Callithrix jacchus: one gene and its partners. Each later gene encodes a partner of the first gene's protein in a complex. Links are inferred from orthologs where the notes say so. Each region holds a gene or a part of one and is shown on either strand. Other genes may lie near its edges. The genes, in order: NFS1, LYRM4 and FDX2.

What was found.
Region 2: the proteins of NFS1 (region 1) and LYRM4 are in contact, whole or in part, in a crystal structure (PDB 6W1D), measured with the Homo sapiens proteins. The link is inferred for Callithrix jacchus from reciprocal best matches to the Homo sapiens genes NFS1 and LYRM4. Residues at the interface, in NP_066923.3 of Homo sapiens: Leu56, Arg57, Pro58, Leu59, Pro68, Leu69, Pro71, Arg72, Leu74, Asp75, Leu78, Glu314, Tyr317, Arg321, Asp372, Arg412, Phe413, Thr414, Thr415, Glu417, Glu418, Tyr421; in NP_065141.3 of Homo sapiens: Phe23, Tyr26, Asn27, Tyr28, Thr30, Tyr31, Arg34, Arg35, Asp38, Val65, Arg68, Gln69, Ile72, Thr78, Asp79, Lys80, Leu81, Ile82, Ile83, Asn85.
Region 3: the proteins of NFS1 (region 1) and FDX2 are in contact, whole or in part, in a cryo-EM structure (PDB 8RMC), measured with the Homo sapiens proteins. The link is inferred for Callithrix jacchus from reciprocal best matches to the Homo sapiens genes NFS1 and FDX2. Residues at the interface, in NP_066923.3 of Homo sapiens: Gln153, Lys157, Leu160, Asp161, Arg164, Ala168, Tyr175, Ala384, Ser385, Leu386, Glu387, Pro388, Tyr390, Arg393, Gln456, His457; in NP_001384335.1 of Homo sapiens: Ala104, Cys105, Glu106, Ala110, Cys111, Pro141, Leu142, Ile169, Thr170, Arg171, Asn172, Phe173, Tyr174, Val175, Asp176, His178, Lys181.

The regions. Positions count from the first base shown.
Region 1 is NC_133506.1:3,590,896-3,601,507, reverse strand, and holds part of NFS1 (cysteine desulfurase), read right to left. Parts: intron 7,474-10,612; coding exon 7,321-7,473; intron 3,531-7,320; coding exon 3,437-3,530; intron 2,406-3,436; coding exon 2,271-2,405; intron 1-2,270.
Region 2 is NC_133505.1:25,185,798-25,197,039, reverse strand, and holds the start of LYRM4 (LYR motif-containing protein 4), read right to left. Parts: upstream 6,355-11,242; 5' UTR 6,156-6,354; coding exon 6,070-6,155; intron 1-6,069.
Region 3 is NC_133523.1:9,497,738-9,507,738, reverse strand, and holds FDX2 (ferredoxin-2, mitochondrial), read left to right. Parts: upstream 1-1,148; 5' UTR 1,149-1,165; coding exon 1,166-1,316; intron 1,317-1,409; coding exon 1,410-1,461; intron 1,462-1,673; coding exon 1,674-1,780; intron 1,781-8,773; coding exon 8,774-8,861; intron 8,862-8,998; exon of another isoform or gene 8,999-9,000; coding exon 9,001-9,157; 3' UTR 9,158-9,426; downstream 9,427-10,001. UniProt on the Homo sapiens protein: Electron donor, of the core iron-sulfur cluster (ISC) assembly complex, that acts to reduce the persulfide into sulfide during [2Fe-2S] clusters assembly on the scaffolding protein ISCU.

The DNA of each region.
Region 1 (10,612 bases):
GACCAGAAGTTTGAGACCAGCCTAAGCAACACAGTAAGACCCTGTGTCTACAAAGGAAAATTAAAAATTAGCTGGGCACGGTGGCATGTACTTATAGTCCCAGCAACTCTGGAGACAGAGGCAGGAGGATCACTTGAGCCTAGGAGGTAAGGCTGCAGTGAGCTGTGATTGTACCACTCACCGCATTCCTGGTTAGGTAACAGAGTGAAACCTTCACTCAAAAAATAAAAAAGCTGAAAATGTGTGTAACCTGTGACCAAACAAGCCGACTTATGGAAAATCTGTGCCAAAATATGAGCATGAGCATGCAAAGTTATTCACTAAGTAATCAGGGTTTCTGAATAGAATGGGCATTTGACAGTTCTTCTACACAGAAAACCTGTTTATGCCGAGAATAGAGGTACTATAAAAATTAAGGCAGTGCTTTCCAAATTTATTACGAAGGACACCAGATTTTAAATTAAAAGCTGGGTGCAGGGCCAGGCGCGGTGGCTCAAGCCTGTAATCCCAGCACTTTGGGAGGCTGAGGCGGGTGGATCACGAGGTCAAGAGATCGAGACCATCCTGGTCAACATGGTGAAACTCCGTCTCTACTAAAAATACAAAAAATTAGCTGGGCATGGTGGTGCGTGCCTGTAATTCCAGCTACTCAGGAGGCTGAAGCAGGAGAATTGCCTGAACCCAGGAGGCGGAGGTTGCGGTGAGCCGAGATCGCGCCATTGCACTCCAGCCTGGGTAACAAGAGCGAAACTCCGACTCGGGAAAAAAAAAAAAATTAGCCAGTCATGGTGGCAAGCACCTGTAGTAGCAGCTACTCAGGAGGCTGAACCAGGAGAATTGCTTGAACCTGGGAGGCAGAGGTTGCAGTGAGCTGAGATCACGCCACTGCACTCCCAGCCTCGGCAACAGAGTGAGACTCCGTCTCAAAATAAATAAATAAAATAAATGAATAAAATAAGGTTCTGGTTAACACAGTGAAACCCTGTCTCTACTGAAAATACAAAAAATTAGCCGGGCATGGTGGCGAACACCTGCAGTCCCAGCTACTCAGGAGGCTGAGGCAGGAGAATAGCTTGAACCTAGGAGGCAGAGGTTGCAGTGAGCCAAGATTATGCTACTGCACTCCAGCCTGGGAGACAGAGTGAGACTCTGTCTCAAAAAAAAAATTATTTCATTTCTCCATTTTACTATCTGAGTTCATACAGTTCCCAAATTCAAACAGGTATCCTTGAGAGAATATTAGGATAACAGACTACAAAGTCTTCTAAGAATAAACACAAAGGAATGTGAAATCCCATGCAATCTTCCCCTAAGCTATAGCAAGACACTCGGAATAAAGGACTCACATAGTTGCTCTGTACATCATAGTGGGGCAAACAAGATAGCTGGGCCCAACTAGATAAATTTCATTTCACAAAACCCCCTTTTCCTCAATCAAATTAAGATCTACATGCTTGAGCCAGGTGCAGTGGCTCATGCCTGTAATCCCAGCACTTTGGGAGGCTGTGGCAGGCAGATCACGAGGTCAGCAGTTTGAGACAGCCTGGCCAACGTGGTGAAACCCTGGTCTCTACTAAATATACAAAAATTAGCCAGGCATACTGGCAGGTGCCTGTAATCCCAGCTACTTGGGAGGCTGAGGCAGGAGAATCGCTGGAACCCGGGAGGCAGAGTTTGTAGTAAGCAGAGATGGCGTCACTGCACTACAGCCTGGGGAACAAGAGCAAGACTCCGTAAGGATTTGTTAAAGAGAGCAATAAAGAATGGCCTGCTGTTGCCTGGACACAGTGGCTCACGCCTGTAATACCAACACTTTGGGAAGCCAAGGTGGGCGGATCACGAGGTCAAGAGATCAAGACCATCCTGGCCAACATGGTGAAACCCTATCTCTGCTAAAAATACAAAAATTTGCAGAGCATGTTGGCACATGCATGTAGTCCCAGTTACTTGGGAGGCTGAGGCAGAAGAATCACTTGAACCGGGAGCAGAGTTTGCAGTGAGCAGAGATCGCATCACTGCACTCCAGCCTGGTGACAGAGTGAGACTCGGTCTCAAAAAAAAAAAAGAATGGCCTGCCGTATAGTAACTACCAAGGTCTACAAACCAGCAAGCGTTTCTGGCTATTGCTAATTGACACTTGCATTCTAGAAGGGACTCTGAATGTACAACTTCCTCTGAGACCAACAGTAGTCCCAAATGACTCTGACAAACATCTATCAAATGTCTTGCTGGAAAGTACAGAGAAGAGGAACTCAAGAAGGGGCTGGTACCTTTGGGACCATAGATTTTGTGACCACTGATGCTCATGAGATCAATTTTCATGTCGTTGACATCAAGTGGGATTTTTCCAACAGCCTGGGCTGCATCAGTATGGAAATATACCTTTCTGGAACTGCAAATCTGCCCTGAGGAAACAACAGAGGGGAAGACCCACAGCAAAGTGTTGGGAAGTAATGTATCAGTATCCCACAATGCACTGTGAATTATCTCCACCAGCAGTAAATGACCTCCGTCAATATTAAACTCCTCCCCTCCTTCCACCTAACCCCTTATACTTCTTTTCCTTACCTCCTCTCCCTTCTCCCTTCCTCCCTCTCTCAGTCTCCCCAGCTTCCCTTCTTTAGAATAAAAAAGATGAAGGGCAAAGCAGCAGGTCAAAATACTCCTGATATTATCATGCATACTATACTTAAAACTTACCACGTCATTTACACCAGCCTTTCAAAATGTCAGATTTTCTTCCAGATCCCTTTTGATTTTAAAAAACAAACAAACAAACAAACAAAAAACTAACAGCTCTTTGTGCTAATGTGCCTAAGGAGATTACAGGGTGAGCTCTATCTGGGAATAATAAAGAGATGTTCTAAAAGGAAAAAGGGTAGAAGCCTTTTTTTGTTTTGTGGTTGGTTTTGGAAGCAACTGCAATAAAAGGAAAAATCATAAAAAATACTAGACCTGCCTGGGCACAGTGGTTCATGCCTGTACTCTCGGCACTTTAGGAGGCCAAGGCAGGTGGATCATCTGAGGTTAGGAGTTTGAGACCAGCCTGGCCAACATGCTAAAACCTCGTTTCTACTAAAAGTACAAAAGTTAGCTAGGCATGGCGATGCATACCTGGTAGTCTCAGCTACTTGAGAGATTGAGGTGGGAGGATTGCTTGAGCCCAGGAGGCAGGCGTTGCAGTGAGCAAATATCATGCCACTGCACTCCAGCCTGGGTGACAGAGTGACACTCTGTCTCAATTTAAAAAAAAAAAAGGTACTAGACCTGAATTCAAATACTGGCTACGCCACTTACATTGTCCTTGAACAAAGTACTTAGACTCTCTTTCCCTTGATTTCCTAACTTCACTCCATAGAGTATTACAGTTATCAGTCTACTACCTCATACAGACCACCATGGTGGGCAGGGATCAGGGTTAACCCATGATACTCACCTATTTCTGCAATAGGCTGCTTCACTCCAATCTCATTGTTCACAGTCATGATTGAGACCAGACTAGTATCTGGCTGGATAGCAGCCTCTAGTTCCTAAGGATATGTAGGAGTAAGGTGACTAGATAGTGCAAACAAAGTCCTCCTAAATCAGAATATAGGCAAGCTTAGTCGTGAAAAGGAGCTTTATGCTAACGAGCTATCTGAATAGTTAACTAAAAACAGTGACAACACAGAATGTTGGTGAGGATGCATAGACTCTGAATGATTCATACATTGTTGGTGGGAATGTATGTCACAGCCACTTTAAAAAGAGTTTGACAGTTTCTGTTTCTCATCAAACTAAACATGAAATTACCATACAACCCGGTAACTGCACATTTGAGTATTTATCCCAGAGAAATAAAAATTAAATTCACAAAACATCTTACACAAATGTTCACAGTAACTTTATTCATAATAGCCAAAACCCAGAAACTACTCAGATGTCCTTCAATAGATGATTTTGGTATATCCATAACATGGACTACTGCTTACCAATCAAAAGGCACAAACTACTGGCACATGCAGCAATGAATGAATTCCCAAAGACTTATGATTAGTGAAAAAAGCCAGTCGAGGCCAGGAGTGGTGGCTCACGCCTGTAATCCCAGCACTTTGGGAGGCTGAGGTGGGTGGATCACCTGAGGTCAGAAGTTCAAGACCAGCCTGGCTAACATGAGAAACCCTGTCTCTACTAAAAATATAAAAATTAGCTGGGCATGGTGCGATAGTCCCAGCTACCTGGGAGCCTGAGGCAGGAGAAATGCTTGAACCGGGGAGGGGGAGGTTGCAGTGAGCTGAGATTGCACCAATGCAATCCAGCCTAGGCAACAGAGCGAGACTCCACCTCAAAAAAAAAAAAAAGAAAAGGAAGGGTGGATATGGTGGCTCACGCCTGTAATCCCAGCACTTTGGGAGGCCCAGATGGGAGGATCACCTGAGGTCAGGAGTTCAAGACCAGCGTGGCCAGCATGGTGAAACCCTGCCTCTACTAAAAGTGCAAAAATTAGCTGGGCGTGGTGGTACGTACCTGTAATCCTAGCTACTTGGGGAGAATTGCTTGAACCTGGGAGGCAGAGGTGCAGTGAGCTAAGATCGCACCACTGCCCAACAGCCTGGGTGATAGAGTGATATTCTATCTCAAAAAAAAAAAAAAAGAAAAAGAAAAAAGCCAATCCTACAAGACTGCATACTGTATGATTCCATTTACATGACAGTATGAATGACAAAATTAAAGAAACTGCCAGGTGTGGTAGCTCACGCCTGTAATCCCAACACTTCCGGAGGCCAAGGTGGGCAGATCACCTGAGGTCAGGAATTAAGACCAGCCTGGCCAACATGGTGAAACACCTTCTCTACTAAAAATATAAAAATTGGCCAGGTGCAGTGGCTCATGACTGTAATCCCAGCACTTTGGAAGGCTAAGGTGGGCAGATCATGAGGTCAAAAGTTTGAGACCAGCCTGGCCAACATGACGAAACTCCGTCCCTACTAAACATACAAAATAAGCCAGGTGTGTTGGTGCATGCCTGTAATCCCAGCTACTTGGGAGGCTAGTGCAGGAGAATTGCTTGAACGCAGGGGGCAGAGGTTGCAGGGAGCAGAGATCACACTATGGCACTCCAGCCTAGGCAACAAGAGAGAAACTCCATCTAAAAAACAAAAACCCCGCAAATGACAAAAGAAAAAATACATAGCTTTCTTTTTTGAAGTGAGGAAAATGTCCTGGAATATGACAGAGATGACTGTTGCAAACTCTGTGAATTGTACATTAAAAAATAGTGAATCATACAATTTCAAAAGATGAATTTTGTGGTACGTGTATTATTAATTTTTCCATTAAACTGGAAGTTAAATGGTACATGAATTATATCACAAATTTCTAAGGGCTTAAAAAAAGCACCAAGTAAAGAAATCTGAATGTCAGGCAAAATGAAATTATGCTTCATGCCAAAGGAAATGAGAAATCTCTCAAGATTTCTGAGTAAAGTGAGAAAAGGTCAAATGAGTACTTTGGAAATAAAGTCTGATAAGGATGTGCAGGACACGCTGGAAGGTTGTAACTAAAGGGCTACTTCAGGCAACAGAGATTAAAGTCCAGAGGTAGCTAAGACACAGGATATAATCCAGTCAAAGAAGTGAGAAGAGGCTGAGCAAGGTGGCTCACATCTGTAATTGCAGTGCTTTTGGAGGCCAAGGTAGGAGGATCGCTTGAGTCCAGGAGTTCACTACCAGCCTGGAGGACATAATGAGATGCTGCATCTATAAAAAATGCTTAAAAATTTAGCCAGGCTAGGCACGGTGGTTCATGCCTGTAATCCCAGCACTTTGGGGGGCCAAGGCGGGTGAATCACTTGAGGTCAAGAGTTTGAGACCAGCCAGGCCAAAACGATAAAACCCCTTCTCTACTAAAAATACAAAAAAATTAGCTGGGTGTGGTAGCATACACCTGTAGTCCTAGCTACTTGGGAGACTAAGGTGGGAGGATGGTTTGAATCCAGGAGGCAGAGGTTTCAGTGAGCTGGGATTTTGCCACTGCATTCCAGCTTGGGTGACGGAGCAATACTCCATCAAAAAACGAAACAAAAACAAAAATTTAGCCAGGTGAGGTGAGCCCAGGAGTCTGAGGCTGCAGTGAGCTATGACCATACCATTGCACTCTAGCCTGGATAACACAGCAAGACCCTGTCTCCAAAAAAAAGAAAAGAAAAGGAGACAGAAAGAGAGAAAGAGTGAGGGAGGGAGGGCAAAAGGGAAGAAGGGAGGAAAAGAAGCAGGGAGGAAGGAAGGGAGGGAGGGAAGAAGGAAGGGAGGGAGGGAGGAAGGGAGGGCAGGAGTCAGAGAAGGGAAAGTATAATTCCAGTGACATTATAAGAAAATGGCCATAGATATGAGTGTGAGTGATTGATGAATGAATGTGAAAAAGACAAAAAAGGGAGGAAATAATGAATGATAACAATTTAGAGTTTAAATTGAGGGGTCCATCTACAAACAGCATGTTAAGATTTGTCTAGGGATGCTGATATACAAAATCTGGTGGATAAGATTCAAGAAAATGATACCACTTCTTTAGCAGGATGAGAAGCATCAGTGCAGGGAAGGAGGAGGCCAGAGCTTTGCCATGGTGAATTTGAGTCCCTGGCATCCTGCATATGTGGCCAATGGCTCTCATACAAACCAGAAAACACCAACAATGGTAAGAAACATGTCTTCCAGGCCAGGCACAGTGGCTCATTCCTGTAATCCCAGCACTTTGGGAGGCCAAGATAGGCAGATCATCTGAGATCAGAAGTTCGAGACCAGCCTGACCAACATGGTGAAACCTCATCTCTACTAAAAATACAAAAATTAGCTGGGCCTGGTGGCAGGCACCTATAATCCCAGCTACTTGGGGGACTGAGGCAGAAGAATCGCTAGAACCCATGAGGCGGAGGTTGCAGTAAGCCTAGATCATGCCACTGCATTCCAGCCTGGGTGACAAGAGCAAAACTCTGTCTCAAAAAAAAAAAGAAAGAAAGAAAGAAACAAGTCCTCCTCCAGAGGTTGCAGTGAGTTGAGATCAGACCACAGCATTCTAGCCTGGGCAAGAGAGCAAGACTCCATCTCAAAAAAAAAAAAAAAGAAAAGAAAAGTAAAAAAAACAAAAGAAACAAATCCTCCAGAGAAAAGGACAGTATACACTCAAGGGGAACATGATCTCTTTCTATGCCAGGCCTATTTCTCTAAACCTCACCCTAAATGTTAGATCTAGTCCTTCAAGCTCCAGTTAGAGCCCAAGAGAGAAATTTACAAGCTGAAGCCAGGCTCCTCCATTATTGCTCCTCATGCCAATAGCCACTCCTACCTTCAGGTCAATGATCCCACTCTTCTGCACTGGGAGGTAGGTGACCTGAAAGCCCTCAGCTTCCAGTGAACGGCAGGAGTCCAAGACACATTTGTGTTCTGTCTGGGTGGTGATCAAGTGCTTTTTCCGTGATCTGTAGAACCGGGCCACTCCCTAGAAATTGGTGGTGGGGATAGATGGAAGGAGAACATACTCAGAGAGACAGCAATGACTTTGATCTCATTTGTAAAGGAAAAGTGGGCAAGAACAGTACGCTCCAACACCAGTTCTCTCATACCAACTGAGTATCATATAATTCAATTCTGAGGCTAACTCCCCAGACTTAGTGAAAACCCCATGGGTTAAGGGCAAATCACACAGGACTGCCCCTAGTTCAGATGCCAGAAGTAAGTCCCAGGTCTCTTGAGCTACCCATACTCTGCCCAGCCAACTACAAATTCAGGGCTTCCTGAACGCCCCTCAAGTTAAATAATTTATTAGAATAACTAATATTTGTACAAACCCATAGAATGTACAACACCAGTGAATCTTTATGTAAGCTATGAACTTTGGGTGATAATGATAATGGTGTATCAATATCAGTTCACCAACTGGAACAAATGTATCACTTGATGGAGGATACTAATAATGGCAGAAGGCTATGCATGCCTGAGGGCAGGGCATATATGGGAAGTTTCTGTACCTTCCTTTCAATTTTGCTGTGAACCTAAAACGGCTATAAAAAATAAAGTCTACTGAAATAATAATAGTATACGGATTAATATAGGTATTTAAAAATCTGGAGAAAAATACAGCAAATTAACAGTGATTATGTTTTTAGAGAGTTCTACCCTATATTACTGGAAGATTTATGTTTCATTCATTGAACCAGTATTTAGCACCTATAATATGACAAGTAATTTTCTTGAAAAACAAAACAAAACAAAAAACAAAGTCTTGCTCTGTAGCCAGGCTTGAGTGAAGTAGCACTATCCTGGCTCACTGCAACAACCTCCGCCTCCTGGGTTCAAGCAATTCTCTTGCGTGAGCCTCCTGAGTACTGGGACTACAGGCGCCCACCATCATGCCCCGCTAATTTTTGTTTTTAGTAGAGATGGTGTTTCACCATATCGGCCAGGCTGGTCTCGATCTCCCGACCTTGTGATCTACCTGCCTCAGCCTCCTAAAGTACTGGGATTACAGGCATGAGCCACTGCGCGTGGCCACCAAGTGATTTTCCTTTTTTTTTTTTGAGACAGAGTTTCGCTCTTGTTACCCAGCCTGGAGCACAATGGCGCGATCTTGGCTCACCACAACCTCTGCTTGCTGGGTTCAAGCAATTCTTCTGCCTCAGCGCCCAGAGTAGCTGGGTCTACAAGCGTGCACCACCATGCCCAGCTAATTTTTACATTTTTAGTAGAGACGGGGTTTCACCATGTTGACCAGGATGGTCTCGATCTCCTGACCTCGTGATCCACCTGCCTCAGACTCCCACCAAAGTGCTGGGATTACAGGTGTGAGCCACTGCGCCCGGCCCACCAAGTGATTTTCTAGGTACCAGCCATATAACAGTAAACAAGTCATGAGTAGGTGTTACTTTTTTTTTTCGAGACGGAGTTTCGCTGTTGTTACCCAGACTGGAGTGCAATGGCACGATCTCGGCTCACAGCAACCTCTGCCTCCTGGGTTCCAGCAATTCTCCTGCTTCAGCCTCCGGAGTAGCTGGGACTACAGGCGTGCACCACCATGCCCAGCTAATTTTTGTATTTTTAGTAGAAACAGGGTTTCACCTTGTTGACCAGGATGGTCTCAATCTCTTGACCTCGTGATCCACCCGCCTCGGCCTCCCAAAGTGCTGGGATTATAGGTGTGAGCTACCGCGCCCAGCCCAGGTGTTACTTTTAATATCAGAAGAAACAATAAAGGTACGTTTAAAAATTCCTGGATTTTCAACTATTACAAGAAAATAAAGAACCATTCATCTCATTTAAGCAAAAAAAAAAAAGGGTCCAGGTGTAGTGGCTCATGCCAGTAATCCCGGTACTTTGGGAGGCCAAGTTGGGTGAATCGTCTAAGGCCAAGAATTTGAGACCAACCTGGTCAACATGGGGAAACCCCCTCTCTCTAAAAATACAAAACTTAGGCAGCCACAATAGCAAGTGCCTGTAGTCCCAGCTACTCAGGAGGCTAAGGCAGGAGAATCACTTGAACCCAGGAGACAGAGGTTGCAGTGAGCCAAGACCGTGCCATTGCAGTCCAGCCTGGGCAACAGAGCGAGATTCCATCTCAAAAAAAAAAAAGGAAGGAAAAAAAGGGCTGGATGCGGTGGTGGTGGCTCATGCCTATAATCCCACCACTTTGGGAGGCTAAAGCAGGAGGATCGCTTGAGCTCAGGATTTCGAGACCAGCCTGGGTAATGTAGTGAGACTTCATCTCTACTTAAAAAAAAAGAAAAAGATTAGCTGGGCATAGTGGTACACATCTGTAGTCCCAGCTACTCAGGAGGATCACCTGATCCCAGGAGGTCAAGGGCGTGGTGAGCTGAGATCTCGCCACTGCACTTCAGCCGGGGTGACAGCAAGACCCTGTCTCAAAAAAACGAAAAATGAAAAAAAACAAAAGGGGGCCAGGAGCAATGGTTCACACCTGCAATCTCAGCACTTCGGGAGGCCAAGGCAAGGGGATCACTTAAGGTCAGGAGTTCGAGACCAGCCTGGCCAACATGATGAAACCATGTCAATACTAAAAATACAAAAATTAGCCAGGGGTGGTGTTTGGCACCTGTAATCCCAGCAGCTCGGGAGGCTGAGACAGGAGAATCACTTGAACCTGGGATGCAGAGGTTGCAATGAGCAGAGATTGTGCTACTGCACGCCAGCCTGGGTGACAGAGCAAGACTCCATTTCAAAAAAAAAAAAATTCATATGTATGTACTATTTTTTACATACCTATATATATACATACCTGAAACAATACTAAACAAAATTAGTTTACAATTAACAGGATAAGCCTGGGTGCAGTGGCTCACACCTGTAATCCCAGCACTTTGGGAGGCCTAGGTGGGCAGATCACCTGAGGTCATGAGTTCAAGACCAGCCTGGCCAACATGAGGAAAGCCCGGATCTACTGAAAATACAAAAATTAGCTGGGCATGGTGACAGGCACCTGTAATCTCAGCTACTTGGGAGGCTGAGGCAGGAGAATCACTTGAACCCTGGAGGTAAAGGTTGCAGTGAGACAAGATTGTACCACTGCACTCCAGCCTGGGGGAGAGAGAGAGAGTGAGACTCCCTCTCAAAAAAAAAAAAAGAAT
Region 2 (11,242 bases), on another chromosome or scaffold:
CCCTCTTTATTAACTGGACCTTGCTAAGGCAAGCCACCCTGCTGACCACAGCTACCTTCCCAAACATATGACTACCTTGGCTTCTGCAACACTACTCTTTACTTGGTCTTCTCCCATTTCTTAAACCCTACAGTAGTTATTCAAGGGACTAGGGCAGAGGTCTCTGAGACCTTTCAGGGGATCCACCAGTAAAACTATTTTCACAGTTACCAGGAAGACATCTGCATTCTCTTAGGAGTAGATAGGGGAAATTGCCAGACACTAAGTAACATGTGATATAGCAACAAATTGTAGGTAGCAACGAATATAAGCACCCAGTTGTCTTCTAGTAAGCCAACCATGAAAGACACTTGCACAAGTGTCAAACTATCAATCTGCTAATTTTTGAGGAGAAAAAATGGTTATTTTTCATAAAAGTGTTACTTAATAGTCACTTAAAAACAGGTGTTTTTACAAGCTTTTGGTTTTGATTTCTAATATGATGTGTCCCACAGAAAGAAAAGCTTTTTGGGCTCCTCAGCAATATTTAAGAATGTAAAAGGCCTAAGACCAGTTAAGCTGAAGAAGCACATTCTTAAACTTTGTCTTCTTGGCTCTTCTTCCGCCAACTCCTTCAATTTTGATGTTCCCTAGAATAGCATCCATAGCCCACTAATTTTCTTACCTTAAATTAGGATTTCTAAGTCTTAGTGTGACCAACCTTTTGGGCCAATTAATTCTTTGTTAATAGGGGCTGTCCCCTGTGCCTCCCTGGCCTCAGACGCTTAGCACCCCCTTTCCGAGTTGTGGCAACCAAAAATCTCCAGATATTGTCAAATAAAATCACCCCAGGATAAGAACTACTAACCTAAATAGTATTCCTAAATAATTCACCTAATATCTAGGTTTTAACTTGACTTATGATGATAATTCTACTTATCAAGTACCCATTTAGCATCAGGGACTTTCCTAAGTACTTGACGTATATTAACGCACTTAAGCAGTGGCGCTGACTACAGTCCCCATTAACAAAGAATTAGCTGGCCCAAGGTTGGTCATGCCAACATTAAGAAATCCTAGTTTAGGGTGAGAAAAATTAGTGGGCTACGAATGCCACTCTAGGGAACATCAATATTAAAGGAGGTGGAAGAAGAAGAGCCAAGAAGACAAAGTTTAAGAATGCGGTTCCTGGTTGGGTGCAGTGGCTCACACCTATAATCCCAGCACTATGGGAGGCCGAGGTGGGCAGATCACCTGAGGGCAGGAGTTCAAGACCAGCCTGGCCAACATGGTGAAACCCTGTCTCTACTAAAAATACAAAAATTAGCTGAGTGTAGTGGCAGGTGGCTCAGCTACTCAGGAGGCTGAGGCAGGAGAATCATTTGAACCCAGGAGGTGGAGGTTATAGTGAGCTGAGATCGCACCATTGCATTCCATCTTGGGCAACAAGAGCGAGACTCCAACTAAAAAAAAAAAAAAAAAAAAAAAAAGAACGTGGTTCTTAAATGTATTTGTCTTGGGACATTTTTACACTGTGTGAGATGGATCAGTTATGATTCTTACAAAGAAACTGCAGAACAGAGAGTGGTGTGACTTGCTCAGGGTCACATAGAGTTGGTGGTGCTGACTATTGTGGTTCTGATTACTCTTCTGAGCTTCAGAGCCCTGTTGATTACCTCTGCTGGGAATCCCAGGGGACATCTGCACTCAGTATACCCTAAAAATAAGCTAAAAAACCCTCTCTCCAGACGTCCAGCTATTTCTGTATTACTGAAGTTAGTTAATGGTGCAAGTTTAAATTCACCCTCTCCTTGTCTTAGCGTAACCAGAAACCTGGATGCCATTCTAGGCTCTGCTTAGATTCTCTTCTTCCTTAGTCCTCAGTCCAGTCATTTGAGTTCTAACAGTTTCCCTTCTAATGATTCATCAAATACAACATTTATCTCTATCTTCCACTATTCCTGTCCTTACTAGCATCCTAATCTCTACCCTGCACAGCTGCAATCAACAGCCATTTGATGTCCTTGGTCCCTCAAAATCATCTTCTACATTGCTGCCAGAGTGATCTATCAAAAATGCAAATCTGGTCATGTCATGTTAGTGGCTGCCTGTGAGCTAAGGGTGAAGTCCAGGGTCCTCAGCATGGCCCCCAGGCCCTCAAATCAGTGGCCCTCTCCAACCTCAGTTCCTTCCTGTCACCCCCTGCATCATACTTACCTCCCTGGCATTGCTCTGCTGTTTGCCTGCCTGAGCACACATGCTGCTTCACACCTTTGATCTGATGTCACCCGCTGAAAGGCCTTCTAGATTTTACACTCTGTGCATCCTTCTGTCACAGCAGTTAAACCAGTCTGTGACAACTATCTCTGTACCTGTGTCCCACATAGGCTTGTAAAGCCACTGATGGCAGGTGCCTAGTTTAGTTCAAAACTCATCTTTCTCTCTTCAGGGCCTGGCATAGCAGTGCTCCCTAACTTGGGGCCACAGACTGGTTGGTATGGGTCCATGGCCTGTTAGGAACAGAGCCACACAACAGGTGAGCAGTGGGTGAGAATTATGGCCCGAGTGCCATCTCCTGTCAGACCAGCAGTGGCGTTAGATTCTCATAGGAGTACCTATTGTTAACTGTGCACGCACATGAGCTCATTATGAGAATTTAATGCCTGATGATCTGAGGTGGAATTGTTTCATCCCAAAACTATCCCCTCCCTTGACCCAGTCCATGGAAAAATTGTCTTTCACAAAATTGGTTCTTGGTGCCAAAAAGGTAGGGGACTGCTGTGGTATAGCACTGGGCAAAATATGCTTCAGAGAAGTTTTGTAGAAGCACTGAGGGAAAAGAATGACATACAGCAATGAGACCTGTTTGGGTGGAGGGAGGGATGGGAGTGGAGACTATGAGATGAAGAGAGTAGGGAAAACTTTTGTTCAAAGAAGGTAACAACTGAGCTGAGTCTTGAATGAAGAGGAGGCACTCTAGACAGAAGCAATAAAGGACCTGCAGGATAGAACAGTACTGGCAAAGGCCTGGAGGCCCAAGAGGATGTGGCACATAGGAAACTACAACTGATGATGATAGAGGACAGGATACATAGGTGGGACCTTGACTGAGACTGGAGGAACAGACAGGGCTCATGCTATCAAAACATGGCCTATATTTTATGTCTTGCAAGAGCGTTCCAAAGTATTTATTTCACTATTCCAATTACTTTAGGCACCACAATTTGCAGGTCATTAAAACATTTTTACTAGTCTACTTTTGATTGCTTATCCAGCACTGCCTGTTATTACTTTTTTTTTTTTTCAGACGGAATTTCGCTCTTGTTACCCAGGCTGGAGTGCAATGGTGTGTTCTCGGCTCACCGCAACCTCCGCCTCCTGGGATCAGGCAATTCTCCTGCCTCAGCCTCCCGAGTAGCTGGGATTACAGGCACGTGCCAACATGCCCAGCTAATTTTTTTGTATTTTTAGTAGAGACAGGGTTTCACCGTGTTGACCAGGAAGGTCTCAATCTCTTGACCTTGTGATCCACCCGCCTCGGCCTCCCAACTATATTACTTTTGATAGGTGACTTAACCTCCCTGTGCCTCAGCTGCCCTACGGGGTCATAAAAATAGTACCTACCTCACTAGATTACTGTCAAAAATAAACATGTTAATAGACATGAAGATGATAAGATAGCAGTCGCACACAGAATTGATCAGTGGATGCTGTATTGCTATTGATTTGCCATCAGTGACAAATAGCTGCTGAGATTAGAGTGGAGGGAAGGGACTGTTCTTGAAATCCACAAGACACAGCCTTAATGTAAAAGAAGGACATATTTTATAACAAGTAAGTTTATCTTGGGAGATGACAGTAGCAGAAACCTAAGTTTTTAGGTCCATGATCTCAGGCAACAGTATAAAATGATTACCAGACTCCTTTGAATAATACATTTATATTTGGGTAGTAAATTTAGCTGAAAATTATATGTTTAAGTATAATTTGACCAATTATTTTCTGAATGTATATCATCTTACAGTTGTCCATACTGAAAGCCATTTTCAATTTTCTGCCTTTCAGGTACAGCCTTGAATGATTTTCCTGCAGTCTGAATAATTTTCCTGTTGAGTTTCTTGAATGATTTTCCTGTTCAGTTGGCAACTACTCATTTGAAAATAATTGGGATTCATTTGCTCATAAATCACTTCCAAAGAGAATTTCAGAAATAGAAGGGTCCTTAGAGACTGTCTAGTCCAACAGTCTATTTCACAAACAAGAGCTCTGAAAAACAGAGATTGAGTGACAAGTCCAAGTTATAGTCTTTGAGGGTTCCACCTTGACTTTCTACATGCTCTCACATAGACCCTCTCCCTGCCATTTTCTTTAGTGTGTGAACTCCCTGCTGGTTCCAAGTCCTTAGGTATCCTCAGTCTAAATAACAAAGTATCTTCCTCCAGACTATGGTGAAATCAAATGGTTTCTATGTATATAACGTGCATATTTCATGTGTTCCCTCAACAGACTTGGTTAAGTACTTGGTGCTAGGTGTTTGTTTAATCTTGCTAAAAATTCCACCAGTATGCCTATTATTACACTCATTACTCTCCAAAGTCAAAGTCATTAAGTAAAATCATGTTCTCCGGTGAAATTTAACCACTTAACTGGGTGGATACGACTTCAGGGGTATGACCTAGATGCTGTTCTCAAATTTGCAGAATGAACATGTTTTCTAAGCAGGTTTCTAAACATTTGAGAGTCACTGCTTAAGAGGCTTACTGTTCCTTTCTTCTGACAGAGGTTGTTCAGGTCGGTCTGCCAACTCACACACCTGGTAGAGGGGAGCCTACCTAACCAGGTGTGTTCCAAGGGTAGGCTCTGCTCCTATGACATCCAGTCCATAGGCTGGCCAGTCACCTAAGTGAGGCTTGGGGTAAAGACATGATTGATCGAGTCAGATTTTTTCTCAGGGGAATATGGCTTAAAATCAGAGAGGAGTAGCAGTTAGTCAAAACCAAACCAAACCAAACAACACATCTGAAAAAAATGCAGAGAGAATCCATAAGGAAATGATGGGTCAGAAGCAGCAACAAAGTGAAAGTAGAGGTTCTGAATTAGAAAAAACCATACAGGCCGGGCGCGGTGGCTCACGCCTGTAATCCCAGCTCTTTGGGAGGCAGAGGCAGGTGAGTCGCTTGAGTTGGGAGTTTGAGACTAGCTTGGCCAACATGGCGAAATCTCGTCTCTACTAAAAATGCAAAAAATTAGCCAGGCGTGGTGGCGGGCGCCTGTAATCCCAGCTATTCGGGAGACTGAGGCAGGATAATCACTTGAACCCCGTGGGGCGGAGGTTGCAGTGAGCTGAGATTACGCCGCTGCACTCCAGCCTGGGCAGCAACAGAAAAAGAATCATAGGCAAATAGGGGAATGGTGAGGCATGTAAAAAAGTGAATGTGTTATATTAAAGATGTAAGAGTTTAGACCCTCAGTGTCCTGCTATCAAGGTCAATAAGCAGGATCTGTCTGGTGAGCCAGGATAAACTGAGGTTTCAGCTCCAAAGCCTGTGAGGTCCTTTTTCCTTTACCGCTAAGCCTTTCCATCGTACCCTAAATAGAACGGATTTGATTCTGGCAACCAAAAGAACTCTTTACGACACCTGGGAAACTTTAGGGAGGTGCTAGCGTGTGCCTTAAGCTTTTTAGCTGTGTGCTACTCACTGGCCATTTCCACGCTCTAGGGAAGTTTTACGTATGCAACATATTGGCCTTAACTTCACCAATGGCTGATTTCCATCTTTTTTTTCTCTTCTGCAGAAACATAACACTAATCATGCTCCGAGAGCACCAACCAAGGTAGACTTTAGGGGGAAAACGTTATAAGACGTGAACGTCTTCCCTGGTAGAAAGAAGAGCAAGCCCTCCGCTCCTCCCCGAGGTCTCAGAGGCCACACCTGCAGGCAGGAGCACGCTTTTCTATGGCGGAACCCGGTCCCTTTCTCGCGGCCGCCGGCGCAGGACGGTGGTTCCAAGGACATTCCGCGGCAGCCCGCGCCCCCGGCCCCCGGCCACCGGCCCCCGGCCCCCGGTCCCCGGCGACCGCCGCGTCACCTGTAATTGTAGGCGCTGAAACGCTTGCTTTCTCTCAGCATAGCCCGGTACAGATCTAACACTTGTGCGCGGCTGGAGGCTGCCATTTTGGAAAGAAAAAAACAAACGGGTCCTCTTCGGAGAGGTCCCAAGTCCAGCCCAACCCACGGAACTTCAGCCTGTGCAGAAACTACGAACGAAATAAAGTGCGGCGGCTCGGCCTTGCCAGCTAGGCGGGCACCCCTGAGGACCGCAGACGGCACCCGGCATCCCGGGCCTCTTCCAAGGCGGGCACAGGCAGGCCTCGGGGCAGCTAAGGGGGCGGTGCCTGGAGGGAGGTGCCTCCGCTCCGCCCAGCCCCCGGCTGGAGGCTCTGGACCCAGCAGCCGCTCCAAGCGGCTGAAAGGCGGGGAAACTAGAGGCCTGGCCGTCGGGGCATCCAGCCAAGCCCCTGGGGGACGAAGATCGGAGGCGCGAGCATCCGAGAGAACTGCAGTTGCACCACGGAGAGCCTTTGCGAACCGTCCGGGGTCTTGGAGGGGACATTTGTGTTTCAAGGCGCAGCGGCCCTTAGTACCTCCAGGAGGCTGCGTTGCCAGGGTTACCGAAGGCCGCCGCGCCGAAGGCCCGCCCTTGACCGCCGATTCCCCGCCCCCACTGGCTGCGGCCGCCCTCAGTGCTGCCTGAGAGGCCTTGCGGGATTTCAAGGGTGACTTGACTTCGCCCGATCCTGCTCGGCTGGATGGGGTTTCATGGCCTTCTCTATGTTGGGAGGCGCGATGTCTGGGTGTGGAGGTGATGAGCCAGGGGTTCTGTGGTACTCCGGCGCTGCTCAGGGCGACCTGCATAGGGGCCTGCGGGACAGGCCCGCTTTCTGTCAAAATGGCGGTGCCCAGCGTACAGGGGTGTCTCTTCAGTTGGGGTTTAAGATTCTTGCCCTGAGAGCGAACTAGCCTGCCACGCTTCCGATTTTGAAACACTTGGGTCTGGGTTTCCCGGGAGAGCGGTGGGTGAGTGCCGGCCTCGTTGCAGCCTGGGGTGCGACGTGGGCAGTTGGTGTGGTAGGGGGTTTACATTGGCCGTGGATTTTTTTCCTCTTTCCTGATGTGGATTTGCTTTTGAGTGAAGTGTCCCCGTGGTTTTGTAAACTAATAAATTTGTAAAATGCAGCCTGGCTGTAGACCTCGGAGAATAATTAGAGACCTTTAGGGGTTTAGGTATTCTCCAAGAAGCAGAGCAAGTTTTCTCCCATGGCTTGACCTAAACTTTTTTGAATTACCTTATTAAAGTGGTGGATAAAGTTGCTTGTTCTAATTTTTGAGCATGGGACTGGAGGCAGGGAAGCCTCAGCCAATTCTAGTACTGTGTTCGCAAAGCAATTTTCTTATTTTTGGAATCTTGCTTTACATAACCTTAGGAAGAACGACACCTTTCTGCATTCAAGCACAGTGAGGAGTACCTTTATACGTAAAAACAAAAGGGCTGGACGCAGTGGCTCCCGCCTGTAATCCCAGCACTTTGGGAGGCCGAGGCGGGCGGATCATGAGGTTAAGAGTTCAAGACCAGACTGGCCAACATGGTGAAACCCCGTCGTTGTGACATGGTAAAAGCCCCATAAAGCTGCATACCTCAACCATACCTAGGCTTTGTGTTGAAACTGCTCTCTGTAACCCTGATGTGACAGGCAAGCAGTCCAAACCCACGCCATCTTGGCCCCTGCGACTTGTAATAAGTAACTAAGGTCTGTAATTTCCACCCATATCCAGACAACGTGTAAACTAACACTTATCTTGACTTCTGTAAACCGCTTAAGCCACAATCGGAATATCCAAAGCCCTCTGGCCCTGGGAATGTCCGGAGCCCCTCACTCTCATCTCCGCCCCAGAGGTAATTTACGGAATCCACTGGCCCTTGGAATGTCTAAAGCCCCTCACCCTCACCCCCAAGGTGGTTTACAGGCGTAAAAGTTCTTGACACCCTCCTTTCAGGGCCACGGGTTGGAGAGACGAGAGTCCTCCGTGACCGCCGGCAATTAAGACCCTGCAATTTGGCATACTTTTGTCTTGGTGTTAACTTTCTATGCTCGGGCCAGTACAACACGCTACTGAAAAATACAAAAATTGGCTCGGCCTGGTGACTCGTGCCTGTAATCCTAGCTACTTGGGAGGCTAATGGAGGAGAATCAGGGACCTGGGAGGTGGAGGTTGCAGTAAGCCAGTTACAATTGTTTCAACCTATTAAGGAATTTAATCATTAATGTATATAATTAATGTATCTAAATGACTCAACTTTGTGGTAATCAAATAAAACTTCCAAGTAAATATGTATAGTTTAGATAGTTTGGGTAGCCTTGTCCTCTGTTAGTACAAGCAATGGTTGCAGTTAGGAAAGCGATAGCTTCCCAGTTAATTCTGAGCCAAGTCTTCACAAAAATACCTCATTATTTTATTTAAAATGGTTTACCAGTTTGATGGACATCATTGCCTTGAGAGGCTAATAGAAAATATTAATTCAAAAGCTACATCTCACTTTTGCATATCTTTATTGTGGAGATGCCTTTTTTTGTTTTTAAAAAAGAAGAAAGTAACTCTATTTGAGACTGTAAGTAGAATGGGCCAGAAGCTGAAGAATGGACCATACCCATATGTTCCTTAACATGCATTCTGTTCTGGGTTGAAATTTTTCTTAGGGAATATCTACAATAGGAGGTACCATTTAGGAATCAAAACATAAAAATTTCTTTAGTATTCGTTTTTCGTTTATCCAAAGTTATCAAGTAACTATAGTTCTTTATGTAAAATCTTGTATTATCTTCTATTAAAATTAGGGTTGTCCATGACCACCTAGTGCTGTGTGAAGAGAAATTTCTCAAATCATAATAAACAGCATAACAACAATTTACTGTCCTGAAGCTTAAATATCAAAGTGATGTATGGAGTAAAATTTGTATAGAAATAGTAACTTATGATATTATTTAGAAATTATTCAGGTGGGCATGGTGCTGTACACCTGTAATCCTAGCACTTTGGGAGGCCGAGGCAGGTAGATTACTTGAGCCCAGGAGTTTGAGACCAGCTTGGACAACATGGCAAAACCCCATCTATACAAAAAAATACATCATAGCAAACCTCATCTCTACACAAAAAGTACAAAAATTAGCTGGGAGTGGTGGCAGGTGCCTGTAGTCCCAGCTACTCAGGAGACAGCGTGTAGTCCCAGATACTCAGGAGACTGAGGTGGGAGGATTGCTTGAGTCCTGGAGGTCGAGGCTGTGTTGAGCCATAATCACGGTACTGCACTATAGCCTGAGCAGCAGAGTGAGACCCTCTCCAAAAAAAAAAAAACCAAAAGAAAAAAAATTATTCTATCCTACACCAGACATGAATCTAAGTATTATACATTGATCCTTCATTTTAATAGAATATGAAGGGGGAAGACCTTATATATCAACTCATTCATTTGTATAGATGAACAAACTCAAGCCTTCCTCATTCCTTCCTTCCTTCAGCATTTATTGAAGACTTCGTAAGTACCATAATTTATTATTTTTTTTTGTTTTTTGTTTTTTTTTTGAGACGGAGTTTCACTCTTGTTGCCCAGGCTGGAGTGCAATGGCGCAATCTCAGCTCACTGCAATCTCTACCTCCCGGGTTCAAGCGATTCTTCTTCCTCAGCCTCCCAAGTGGCTGGGATCACGGGTATACACAACCATGCCTGGCTAATTTTTTGTATTTTTAGTAGAGATGGAGTTTCACCATGTTAGCCAGGCTGGACTCGAACTCCTGACCTCAGGGGATCCACCTGCTTTGGCCTCCTAAAGTGTGGGGATTATAGGTGTGAGCCACGGTGCCTGGCCAATAAGTACCATAACATATGAGGACAAAACTATAAGATGACATAGTTACAGTGATGAGAGCCTCCCCACCCCTAAGAAACCTGTAGGTGATTAGATAAACCAAACAATAATTTATAGAGACAGGTTCTCGCTCTGCTTCCTAAGCTGGAGTGCAGGGGTATGATCATAGCTCATTTAAACTTCAAACTCCTGAAGTGATTTTCCTGCCTCAGCCTCCCAAGTAGCTAGGTCTATAGGCTCATGCTACCATGTCTGGCAAATTAGAAAACTTTTTTTTTTTTTTTTGGTAGAGATAAGATTTCACTATGATGTCCAGTATGGTCTCAAACCCCTCAGTGCATTTCCTGCCTTGGCCTCCCAAAGAGTTCAGCTTATAACTATAAAGTGTGAGCCGTGGCACTTGGCCAATAATTTCTTTTTGACAGTTGCTGTGATAAGAGCAATAATTTAGCAAATACTAAAGGAATACAGAAGAGGAATATTGAACTAGGACTTTCACCTAAGGGAAGGCTTTCCATCATAGGTGTTTCTAGAATGAATAGTAAGAGCCAGATGAGGAATGTGGTTAAAGATTGTATTGTATATTCCAAGCATGGAGGCAGAAGGGTGCTTGATCTATTTAGAGAACTCTAAGTGTTTTAGGATGGTAGGAGGTGGGAAGGGAGGGACCGCAGAAGTGGTTAGCCCTGCACTAACTTTATTTTAGTGATGTTTTTCCTATTTCTGGAATAAATCATTTCTTCCATTATGCATTGGCTGAGTCATATAAGTATAGCTTAACAGCTGAGCTGTTGAAATGGAAACTATTTATTCAGGTATGGATAGCCTTTTGTTTCAGATCATGAATTTGAATCCTATATTTGAGAGGCAGTGAAATTTTATTTGTGCATTCAAAAGATAGCCGGCAGCCTGGTAGTTCAAGTTTCTGTTCTCGCAATGATAACTTGAGGATGATGTAGAAATCAAACATGGATCCCGTTTTCCAGAAGTTTATACTTTAAATACATTTGTATATAATTAAAATAAGGAGTAGGAGATATTAGGTTGGTGCAAGAGTAATTGGGGATTTGACCATTAAAAGTAATGATCAAAACTGCAGTTCCTTTTGCACCAACCTATACAAAGTGCTTCAAGGAAAGGGCTGGTGAAGCGTCACTGGGTCTCAGTGTAAGAAGTCACTTCCATCCCTTATGCTTGGGCCACACCTCAGACCAACAGCAGGGCTGAGGCCCAGGCTTCAGAGATTTTTGTTTAATTGTTTTTTAAGTTTCCTCCATGATTGGGTATAGCCAGGGCTGAGAAACACTGATATGAAGGAATCAGGAGGCTTCATGGAGG
Region 3 (10,001 bases), on another chromosome or scaffold:
CCCTCCCCTCACCTCCTCTGCTGTGCCCGTCTCTCTGGAGCCCTCCTGCTTCCGTTGCTCCTGTAATTTTGGCCTTTTGAGTGCCTTGGAGGTTTCCCTCACCTCCCGTGAGGATACAGAGGCTGTCTCCTTTTTTTAACTTTGACAGCTGACTTCTGCTTCCTTTTCTAATTTTTATTCTTCAACCCCCAGCTCTGATTCTTTCAAGGTCCGGCCTGTCCGGGCCACCATTCCACACTTCACGGTTCAAAACAGCTCTTTTTCCCACATCTGCTGCAGGCATGCTGTCTCCTGTCCCTGCCTGCCCATCTGGCCTGTACCCCAGCCCGGGGGTCCCTGCCACAACCCCCTCCCCTTCTGATGCCTTAAAAGCTGGGCCCCAGGCCCTGCTGGCCAGAGCCACAGATGTGGAGCTCTGGGAGCTTGACTATGGACCAAACAGCCCTGGCCTAGGTATCGGGCCACCCTACCCAAGATCTCCACCCTGGGGATAGTAGAAGGCCAAAGCCTTCATCTTGCTGAACCAGCCCCATCACCCCTTCCTGCCTGGGACTCGGTGCAGAGATGGGCTTTCTCTGCCAGTCCCCCTTACGTCTGTCTGTGGGAGTCGGGCATTGTATCCATCTCCCGGAGCCTCTGCTGTCACCCCCTTGTTGAAGATGAATTCTTGAAATCTGCCTGCCTGCCACAGGCCAGAGCCCTGAAGCTGGCCTCCTTTCAGCCCAGTGCCAGAAACCAGCACTCCATGCAGATAAGCTCTGGGTCTGTCCACCAGCAGGACCTGTCAACCTGAGGTGACCCTGGGCCCTGCCGCAGGCCAACTGGGCCACCAGCTTCCCTCCCCTGATTCTGGTGACCCACATCCACTCCATGGGGATTTTTCCCCCCCAACCCCAATCTCCCCACATGGACCTTTGCTGAATTAAAGTTTGTAAGTAAATGGTTTTAAAGAAATCAAAGCTGGCTGGTTCTTGGAACAAACAGTGGGTTTGAGTGGGAGGTTTGGGATGGCCCCGCAGAATTACCTGCATTGGATCTCACCCTGCTCTTCCCTTATGGTGACCGCAGGCATTAAGCAAACAAACATCTGCGCTTAAATTCTGGTAATTAGAAGTACTTCGCTCGCGTTTCCGGTAGGGCGCATGCTCAGTTGCCGTGTCACGTGATGCATGTCATGGCCGCCTCCATGGCCCGGGGCGGCGTGAGAGCCAGGGTTCTGCAGGCTGCCAGAGGCACCTGGTGGAATAGACCTGGAGGCACTTCGGGGTCCGGGGATGCGGTGGCTTCGGTAACAGTCAGAAAGTTTCAGGCGACAGGTACTTGGGGCGTCCGGAGCGGGTGGCATTAACCCAATTAGATGCCGGCGGGGCGGGGCTCGGTGCAGCCGCTCACCCAACCGTGTTTTCCAGGCTCGCGCCAGGCTGGAGAGGAGGCGGGCGGCCCCGAGCGGCCCGGGGACGTGTGAGTGCAGGGGGCCAAGTCCCTCATTCTTCATTCCACGAAACTCCTCCGGTCCCCATCTTGCCCTGTAGCTTCATCTCGAGGTCCCCCTTCTGCTTCGCCCTATTCAGTCCCTGTCCGTCAAGCCTCAACCCCGACTTCCTAACTCTAGATTCTACCCAGGCCCTGAGTCCATCATCCAGCTCGGCATTTGCACCTCCATCTGTCCCCAGGGTGAACGTGGTGTTCGTAGACCGCTCAGGCCAGCGAATCCCAGTGAGCGGCAGAGTCGGGGACAATGTTCTCCACCTGGCCCAGCGCCACGGGGTGGACCTGGAAGGTAGGAACCGGGCACGGGGAATTAAGGAGGTCTTTATCCATTTGTCCAAAAAACACACAAATCCGGTGTGTCTCTTCATGGCTTTTCCGACCAAATATGGACTAAAATGCAAACCTCTCACTGCGGCCTCATCCGTTGCCCATCCCCTCCCTCCCCTCCCTCCCTCTCTCCCTCCTTCCCTCCTTCCCTCCTTCCCTTCCTTCCCTCCTTCCTTCCTCCTCCTTTCCTTCGGTCTCACTCTGTCGCCCAGGCTGGAGTGCAACGGCACGATCTGAGCTCACTGCAACCTCCGCCTCTGCATGGAGTGCTGGTTTCTGGCACTGGGCTGAAAGGAGGCCAGCTCCAGGGCTCTGGCCTGGGGCAAGCAGGCAGATTTCAAGAATTCATCTTCAACAAGGGGGTGACAGCAGAGGCTCTGGGAGTTCAAACGATCCTCCTGCCTCAGCCTCCTGAGGAGCCCGGCTCTTATTTATTAAGCATTTATTAGGCCTCCCAAAGAGCAGGGATTACTAGGACACCTCCCTGGAATTTGTTTTCTCTTGCCCCTGCCTTCCTGTATTCTAGCTACATTGACTTTATTTTTCTTGGTTTTTTTTTGTTATTGTTGTTTTGAGATGGCATTGGAGTGTAGTGGCTCACAGCACCTCAGCTCACTACAACCTCCACCTCCCAGGTTAAGCGATTCTCCTGCCTCAGCCTCCCGAGTAGCTGGGATTACAGGCAGCCACCACCAAACCCCACTAATTTTTGTACTTTTAGTAGAGCTGGGGTTTTACCATGTTGGCCAGGCTGGTCTCAAACTCCTGACAGGTGATCTACCCGCCTTGGCCTCCCAAAGTGCAGGGATTACAGGGATGAGCTACCCGGCCCCCACTGGCTTTCTTATAGTTCAAACAGCCAAGCTCATTCCTGCCTCAGGGCCTTTGCATTTGCTGTTCCTTCTGTCTGAAGTGCTTTCCCAGCAAACATTCTGGCTCTTTCTCATCCTTTAGACCTCAGTGTAAATGCCATGTCCCTAACAATCCCATTCCCCTCAGCCCAGCTGAAGAACCCATGCCCCCCTAGTCACTCTGTCTTAACAGTGTGATATGATATATAGCACCTCTCACTTTTTTTTTTTTTTTTTTTTTTTGAGATGGATTCCTGCTCTGTCACCAAGGCTGGAGTGCAGTGGTGCGATCTTGGCTCACTACAACCTATGCCTCTTGGGTTCAAGCAATTCTGTCTCAGCCTCTCAGGTAGCTGGGACTATAGGCACACACTACCACGCCCAGCTGATTTTTGTATTTTTAGTAGAGATGAGGTGTTGGCCAGGCGTGGTGGCTCACACCTGTAATCCCAGCACTTTGGGAGGCTGAGGCAGGCGGATCACAAGGTCAAAAGGTCGAGACCACCCTGGCCAACATGATGAAACCCTGTCTCTACTAAAAATACAAAAATTAGCTAGGTGTGGTGGCACGTACCTGTAGTCCCAGCTACTCGGCAGGCTGAGGTGGAAGAATTGCTTGAACCCAAGAGGCAGAGGTTGCAGTGAGCCGAGATTGCACCACTGCACTCCAGCCTGGTGACAGAGCAAGACTCCATCTCAAAAAAAAAAAAGAGAGACTAGGTGTCACCACATTGGCCAGGATGGTCTAAATCTCTTTACCTGCCCACCTCGACCTCCCAAAGTGTTGGGATTACAGGCATGAGCCACCTCACCCAGCCAACTTTTTTTCTCTTTTTAAGAGACAGAGCCTTTGGGAGGCTGAGGCAGGGGAATCACTTGAACTTGGAAGGCGAAGGTTGCAGTGAGCCAAGATTGCGCCACTGCATTCCAGCCTGGCAACAGAGTGAGACTCTATCTCCAAAAAAAAAAAGAGAGAGAGTCAGAGCCTTGCTGTGTCACCAAGGCTCACTGCAGCCTTGAACTCCTGGGTTCAAGCGATCCTCCCAAGTAGTTGGGATTACAGGCACAAGCCACAATGCCAGGTTGTTTTCTTTCCTTCTTTGTCATCTGTCCCCTAGTGAGACCAGAGACCCATGTTCTTGTTCATGCTTATCTGTAGCCTGTCAGGATGTAACAGGTGTTTGATCATTCACTGAGAGAAGAATAATAATAAAAATGTATTGCCCAGGCACAGTGGCTCATGCCTGTAATCCCCATACTCTGGGACACCAAGGCAGGTGACTCACTTGTCAGGCGTTCAAGACCAGCCCGGCCAACATGGCGAAACCCTGTTTCTACGAAAAACACAAAAATTAGCTGGGCTTGGTGTCACATGCATATAATCCCAGCTACTCAGGAGGCTGAGGCACAGAGTCACTTGAACTTGGGAGGCAGAGGTTGCAGTGAGCCAAGATGGCAGCACTGCACTCCAGGCTGGACGACAGAGCGAGACTGTCTCAAAAAAATATATATGTGTTTCTTTAAGCATGTTAATGCATATTCACTGATTGAATCTTCATGACAACTTTATTCAGTAGTAGAGACTGCTGTTCCATATTATAGATGAGGAAACTAAACCCCAGGTTAAGTAGAGCTGGTCTAAGGTTAAGTGAATGACAATACTAGATTCACCCGCCCATTTTAGCCACGAATCTGCGCTGCCTTTCTACGAATACCTACTAGGCGTCAGGCAGCAATACACAAAACAAATAAGGCCTCTGTCATCTCACACCAATTTCAGCCTAATAGGGACAAAAATCCCATAGGTAAATATAGAATTATGTCATGAGCAACTTGGGAAGGGTTGTCTGGAAGACAATATACAGGGTTTGCTTTTAGGGTGAATATATCAGGGACCTTTGTTTTATCATTAAAGGGAAGATATGCTGGGGGAGGAAAGGCCTACCTAAAGTCCTGTTCTGGAGTCCAGTGGCCTGCAGTCTAGGACAGAGATTGGAATGTGAGGTTGACTGATTGGTCGATTTGAGACAGAGTCTTGCTCTGTCCCCCAGGCTGGAGTACAATGGCATAATATGGGCTCACTGCATCCTCCACCTCCTGGGTTCAAGTGATTCTCCTGCCTTAGCCTTCCAAGCAGCTGGGATTACAGGCGCCCGCCACCACAGCTGGCTAATATTTTTTGTTGTTTTAATAGAGACAGGGTTTTGCCATGTTGGCTAGGCAGGTCTCAAACTCCTGACCTCAGGTAATCTGCCTGCCTCAGCCTCCCAAAGTGTTGGGATTACAGGCATGAACCACCATGCCCGGCCAGAATGTGAGTTTTGGAGGTAAATGGCCTGCCTAGGCACGAATTACTCATGCCTGTAATTCCAGCACTTTGGGAGGCGGAGATGTTCAGATCACCTGAGGTCAAGACCAGGCTGGTCAAAATGGTGAAATCCTGTCTCTACTAAAAATACAAGTATTAGCTGGACGTAGTGGCGCACGCCTGTAATTGCAGCTTGGGAGGCTGAAGCAGGACAATCACTTGGGCTGGGAAAGCAGAGGTTGCGGCGAGCTGAGATTACACCACTGAACTCCAGCCTAGCTGACAGAGTGAGACTCTGTCTCAAAAAAAAAAAAAAAGAGGTAAGTGGCTTGTGTTCCAAGTTTGCCTCTTACCAGATACATAACCCCGAGAAAGGGACTTAGCTTCTCTGGGCCTCTGTTTCCTCGTCTATACAATTGGATAATTTAATTCCGATCTCACTGGGTTGCTGTGAAGATTCAACAGTGTTTGGTGGTTTTTAGTGGCTGGCATGAAGCCAGTGTGAAGTGAGTGAGTGGCTGGAATGACTAGATTAGATTATCTCAATCTCATGTGATGAGGATGCTAACGAGGTGGGTAATGGGGCTGACGAGACATGCAGGGACTGACTGGAGTTTCAAGGTCCAGGCAGTTTCTCTCCAAGCGATAGAGACGGGGCAGATTGGTCACAGAGCCCCATCGGTGACGGTTGAAGCAAACAGGGAGGCGAAGCCAGGTCAGGAGGCTGCCATCCAGATCCACCCTCGTGGTCTGACAAGTCTAGAAAGGGGAGAAAAATTCTTAGTTTAACGTCTTCCTGTGCACTGAGGACAAATGTTGTTTTCTTTTTCTTCTTTTTTTTTTTTTGAGTGTGTGTTTTTTTAATTTAAGCTCTCCCTCTATTTCCCAGACTGGAGTGCAGTGGCACAATCAAGATTTACAGCCTCGAACTCCCAGGATCAAGCAATCCTGCTGCCTCAGCCTCCCAAGTAGCTGGGACCACAGGCATGCACCACCATGACCAGCTAATTTTTTTGTAGAGACAGGACCTCCTAGTGTTGCCCAGGCTGGTCTTGAACTCCTGGCCTCGAACTCATGATCTCAAGTGTGATCTTCCTGTCTCAGCCTCCCAAAGTGCTGGGATTGTAGTCATGAGCTACCATGCCCAACTGATAAATGCTGCTTTTTGTTGCCGTGAGACAGGGTCCCTGTGCTGCCTGGGCAGGGGTGCAGTGGTGTAAACATGGCTTACTGCAGCCTCGACCTTCCCAGGCTCTGCCACGTAGCTGGAACTACAGGCGCATGCCACAACGCCTGGGATTAGCAAGATGCTAATTATTTTGTATTTTTTGTAGAGACGGGGTTTCAATATATGGCCCAGGCTGATCTCAAGTTCCTGGGCTCAAGCGATCCATCCATCTGGGCCTCCCAAAGTGCTGGGATGACAGGCGTGGGTTTGGATGACAGGCACCCAGCCTGACACATGTTCCTTGCGCATCTGTAACATGCCAGGCTGAGTGCAGACAGAGAAGGGCAGGTTGATGGGGAGCAGGTCAAGCCAGAGAGGAAGACGGTTACTTCTGACTGATAAATACAGAAAGTAAAAGGGAGAGGGACAAGACACGGGAGATGTGGGAATCAGGGGACAGGTGAGTGGAGTCCCTGAAGACAAGAAGGGTCCAGCCAAGGAAAGAGCCAGGTGTGGTGGTGGGCGCCTGTGGTCTCTACTTCTCAGGAGACTGAGGCAGGAAGATTGCTTGAGAGATGGAGGCCAGCCTGGGCAACGTAGTGAGACCCTATCCCAAAAAAAAAAAAACTGAAACAGGCCAGGATCAAAGCCTGTAAGCCCAGCACTTTGGGAAGCTGAGGTAGGCAGATCATGTAAAGTCAGGAGTTCAAGAGCAGCCTGGACAACATGGTGAAACCCCATCTCTACTAAAAACACAAAACAATCAGCCAGGTAGGGTGGTGGGCTGTAATCCTAGCTACTCAGGAGACTGAGGCAAGAGAATTGCTTGAACCCAGGAGGTGAAGGTTGCAGTGAGCTGAGATCACGCCACTGCACTCCAACCTGGGTGATAGAGCATGACTCCCTCTCAAAAATTCACACACAAAAACCGGAAACAAAAAGTAGAAAGGAAGGTACTCCAGGCCAGGGATACAGTCAGTGCAAAGGCCCTGTGGTGGGGTGAGCTTGGTGGGTTCCAGTTGCATCAAGGAGTAAGTTGTACAGTTCATGCAAAGCAGGAAGACAGAAAAAGCCAAACAGGGTGGGGTGCGGTGGCTCATGCCTGTAATCCCAGCGCTTTGGGAGGCCAAGGCGGGCAGATCACCTGAGGTCAGGAACTCGAGACCAGCCTGGCTAACATGGTGAAACCCCGTCTGTACTAGAAAATACAAAAATTAGCTGGTCGTAGTGGTGGGAGTCTGTAATCCCGGCTATGTGGGAGGCTGAGGCAGGATAATCGCTTGAACCCAGGAGGTGAAGGTTGCAGTGAGCTGAGATCACGCCACTCTACTCCAGCCTGGGTAACAGTGAGATTCTGTCTCAAAAACAACAACAACAGAACAAAAAAACTTCAAAAGGTAAAAAAGAAAAGGAATGAATGAGGGAGATGGGGGAAATGAAGGACTAAGTGGAGGAGTTTGGATTTGATTCTGGGTTTGAAAACCTTTTGGAAGGTTTTAGGCCAGGAGGGACATGATCCCCAGGCACGGGTCTCTATGATCAGAGGATGTGGGGGGTGTGACCAAGAGCAGGTGGTTAGCAGAAAACCTCAGGTTCTGTCTCTTTCAACCCTAATTCCTGGCCACGTGCAGTGACATATACCTGTAGTCCCAGCATTTTGGGAAGCCAAGGCAGACAGATTCATGAGCTTAGGAGTTTGAGACAAGCCTGGGCAACATGGTGAACCTCATCTCTTTAAAAAAAAAAAAAAGGGCTGGGCATGGAGGCTCAGCTCACACCTGTAATCTCAACACTTTGGGAGGGTGAGATGGGTGGATCGCCTGAGGTCAGGAGCTTTCGACCAGCCTGGCCAACATGGTGAAACCCTATCTCTAATAAAAATACAAAATTAGCTGGTTGTGGTGGTACATGCCTGTAATCCCAGCTACTTGGGAGGCTGAGGCACGGGAATAGTTAGAACCTGGGAGGAGGAGGTTGCAGTGAGCCGAGATCGCACCATTGCATTATAGCCTCGGCAACCAGAGTGAAACTCAATCTCAAAAAAAAACAAAACAAACATGGACTGCAAGTCCATATAAAAAAAAATTAGCCAGGCATGGTGGCGTGGTGTCCACCTGTAGTCCCAGCTACTCAGGAGGCTGGGGTGGGAGAATTGCTTGAGCTGGGAGATTGAGGCAGTAAGCGGTGATGGAGCCAAAGCACCCCAGCCTGGGCAATAGAGTGAGACCCTGTCTCAAAAAAAGTGCTAATCCCTGACTCCTTCCCCCACCACACTGACTGCTGAGTCAGCTGGTCCATCCTCCAAGAGTAGCCAAGAGGTGGGGACACATTTGCCCAGCACAGTGATAGGGTCATAGCCAGGGCTCACAGGCTGCTGGGAGCCTGCCTGGCCTTCCCCTCTCAGCTCTGGCAGCCAAGTCCATGCTCCTTAATGGTTCTGCATCGCAGCCTCCTGGGGAGTCCCTTTGTAAACCCTATACAAAGCTGGGGAACGGCTAGCTGTGAGGCTGCAGACCCGGGAGGGAGACACGTGGTGGAAGAGAGGGCTTCTCTTTGCCCTTCACTCCACAGAGCAGCCCCCTCCTGACTGTGCCACTCACCTACACCCCCTTCGCTTCCCGCCCTTAGGGGCCTGCGAAGCCTCCCTGGCTTGCTCCACCTGCCATGTGTATGTGAGTGAAGACCACCTGGATCTCCTGCCTCCTCCCGAGGAGAGGTGAGTAGGGCAGCCCTGCCTGGCTGGAAGCTGCAGCTTAGACTTCTGGACAGCCCCCACTGTCCTCCCCACTTCCAGCCCCCACCCCGCCCCACAACCAGCATGCCCTCGGCTAACACTGCCCGTGTCACCACCCCAGGGAAGACGACATGCTAGACATGGCCCCCCTCCTCCAGGAGAACTCACGGCTGGGTTGCCAGATCGTGCTAACGCGGGAGCTGGAAGGAGCGGAATTCACCCTGCCCAAGATCACCAGGAACTTCTACGTGGACGGCCATGTTCCCAAGCCCCATTGACATGGGTGCCTGGACCTTTCCACATTGCCAAGGCCCCAGGGCCCAAACCGAGGGAATAGCCACGTGCCAGCCCCGCCCAGAGCTCGGACAGGCCTGGGAGAGATGTGGAAGCCCCCGAGAAGGACAGCACCCCTGCTTGGGAGAGGTGCCCATGTCCAGGCTCTGGTGGGGACAGGGCGCCTTGTTGGGTGGCCTTCCCCAAGCCCCTGAGAATCGGTGTGAATAGGAGTGGACTCAGATTGGAGCTGCAATAAATCAGTATCACAGGCCCCAGCATGTTGAGTGTCCTTAGGGGACAGATCTGGGGTCTACACATGGCTCACACCTGTAATCCCAGCACTTTGGGAGGCCAAGGCGGGAGGTTCACTTGAGGCCAGGAGCTTAAGACCATCCAGGACAAAATGGCGAGACCCTGTCTCTATAAAAAAGTAAAAATGGGCATGGAGTGGTGGTAAGTGCTTGTGGTCCCAGCTACTCGGGAGATTGAGGTGGGAGGATCACTTAAGCCCAGGAGATTTAGGCTGCAGTGGAGCAGTGATCAGGCCATTGCACTCCAGCTTGGGTGACAGAGTGAGGCTCTGTCTCAAAACAAAAACACACACCTTCATCTGCTGTGCTGGGACCCGGGCTCTCCTCTCTCTGGGATCGGAGATCCCACTGGGGATCTGAGGCAGAGGCCTGGGAGCCCCCATTGCCGGGGGGGAGGGCCAGCGTGGAAGGCCCCGCCCCCGCAGTTGCGGAGGGATTTGGTGGGGTCCAGGCCGCTCTTGGCACGCAGGGGTGCGCAGATGACCTGAAGTCAGAAAAAGGAAAGGCGCCGCCAAGATTGGTCGCTCTCAGCTGG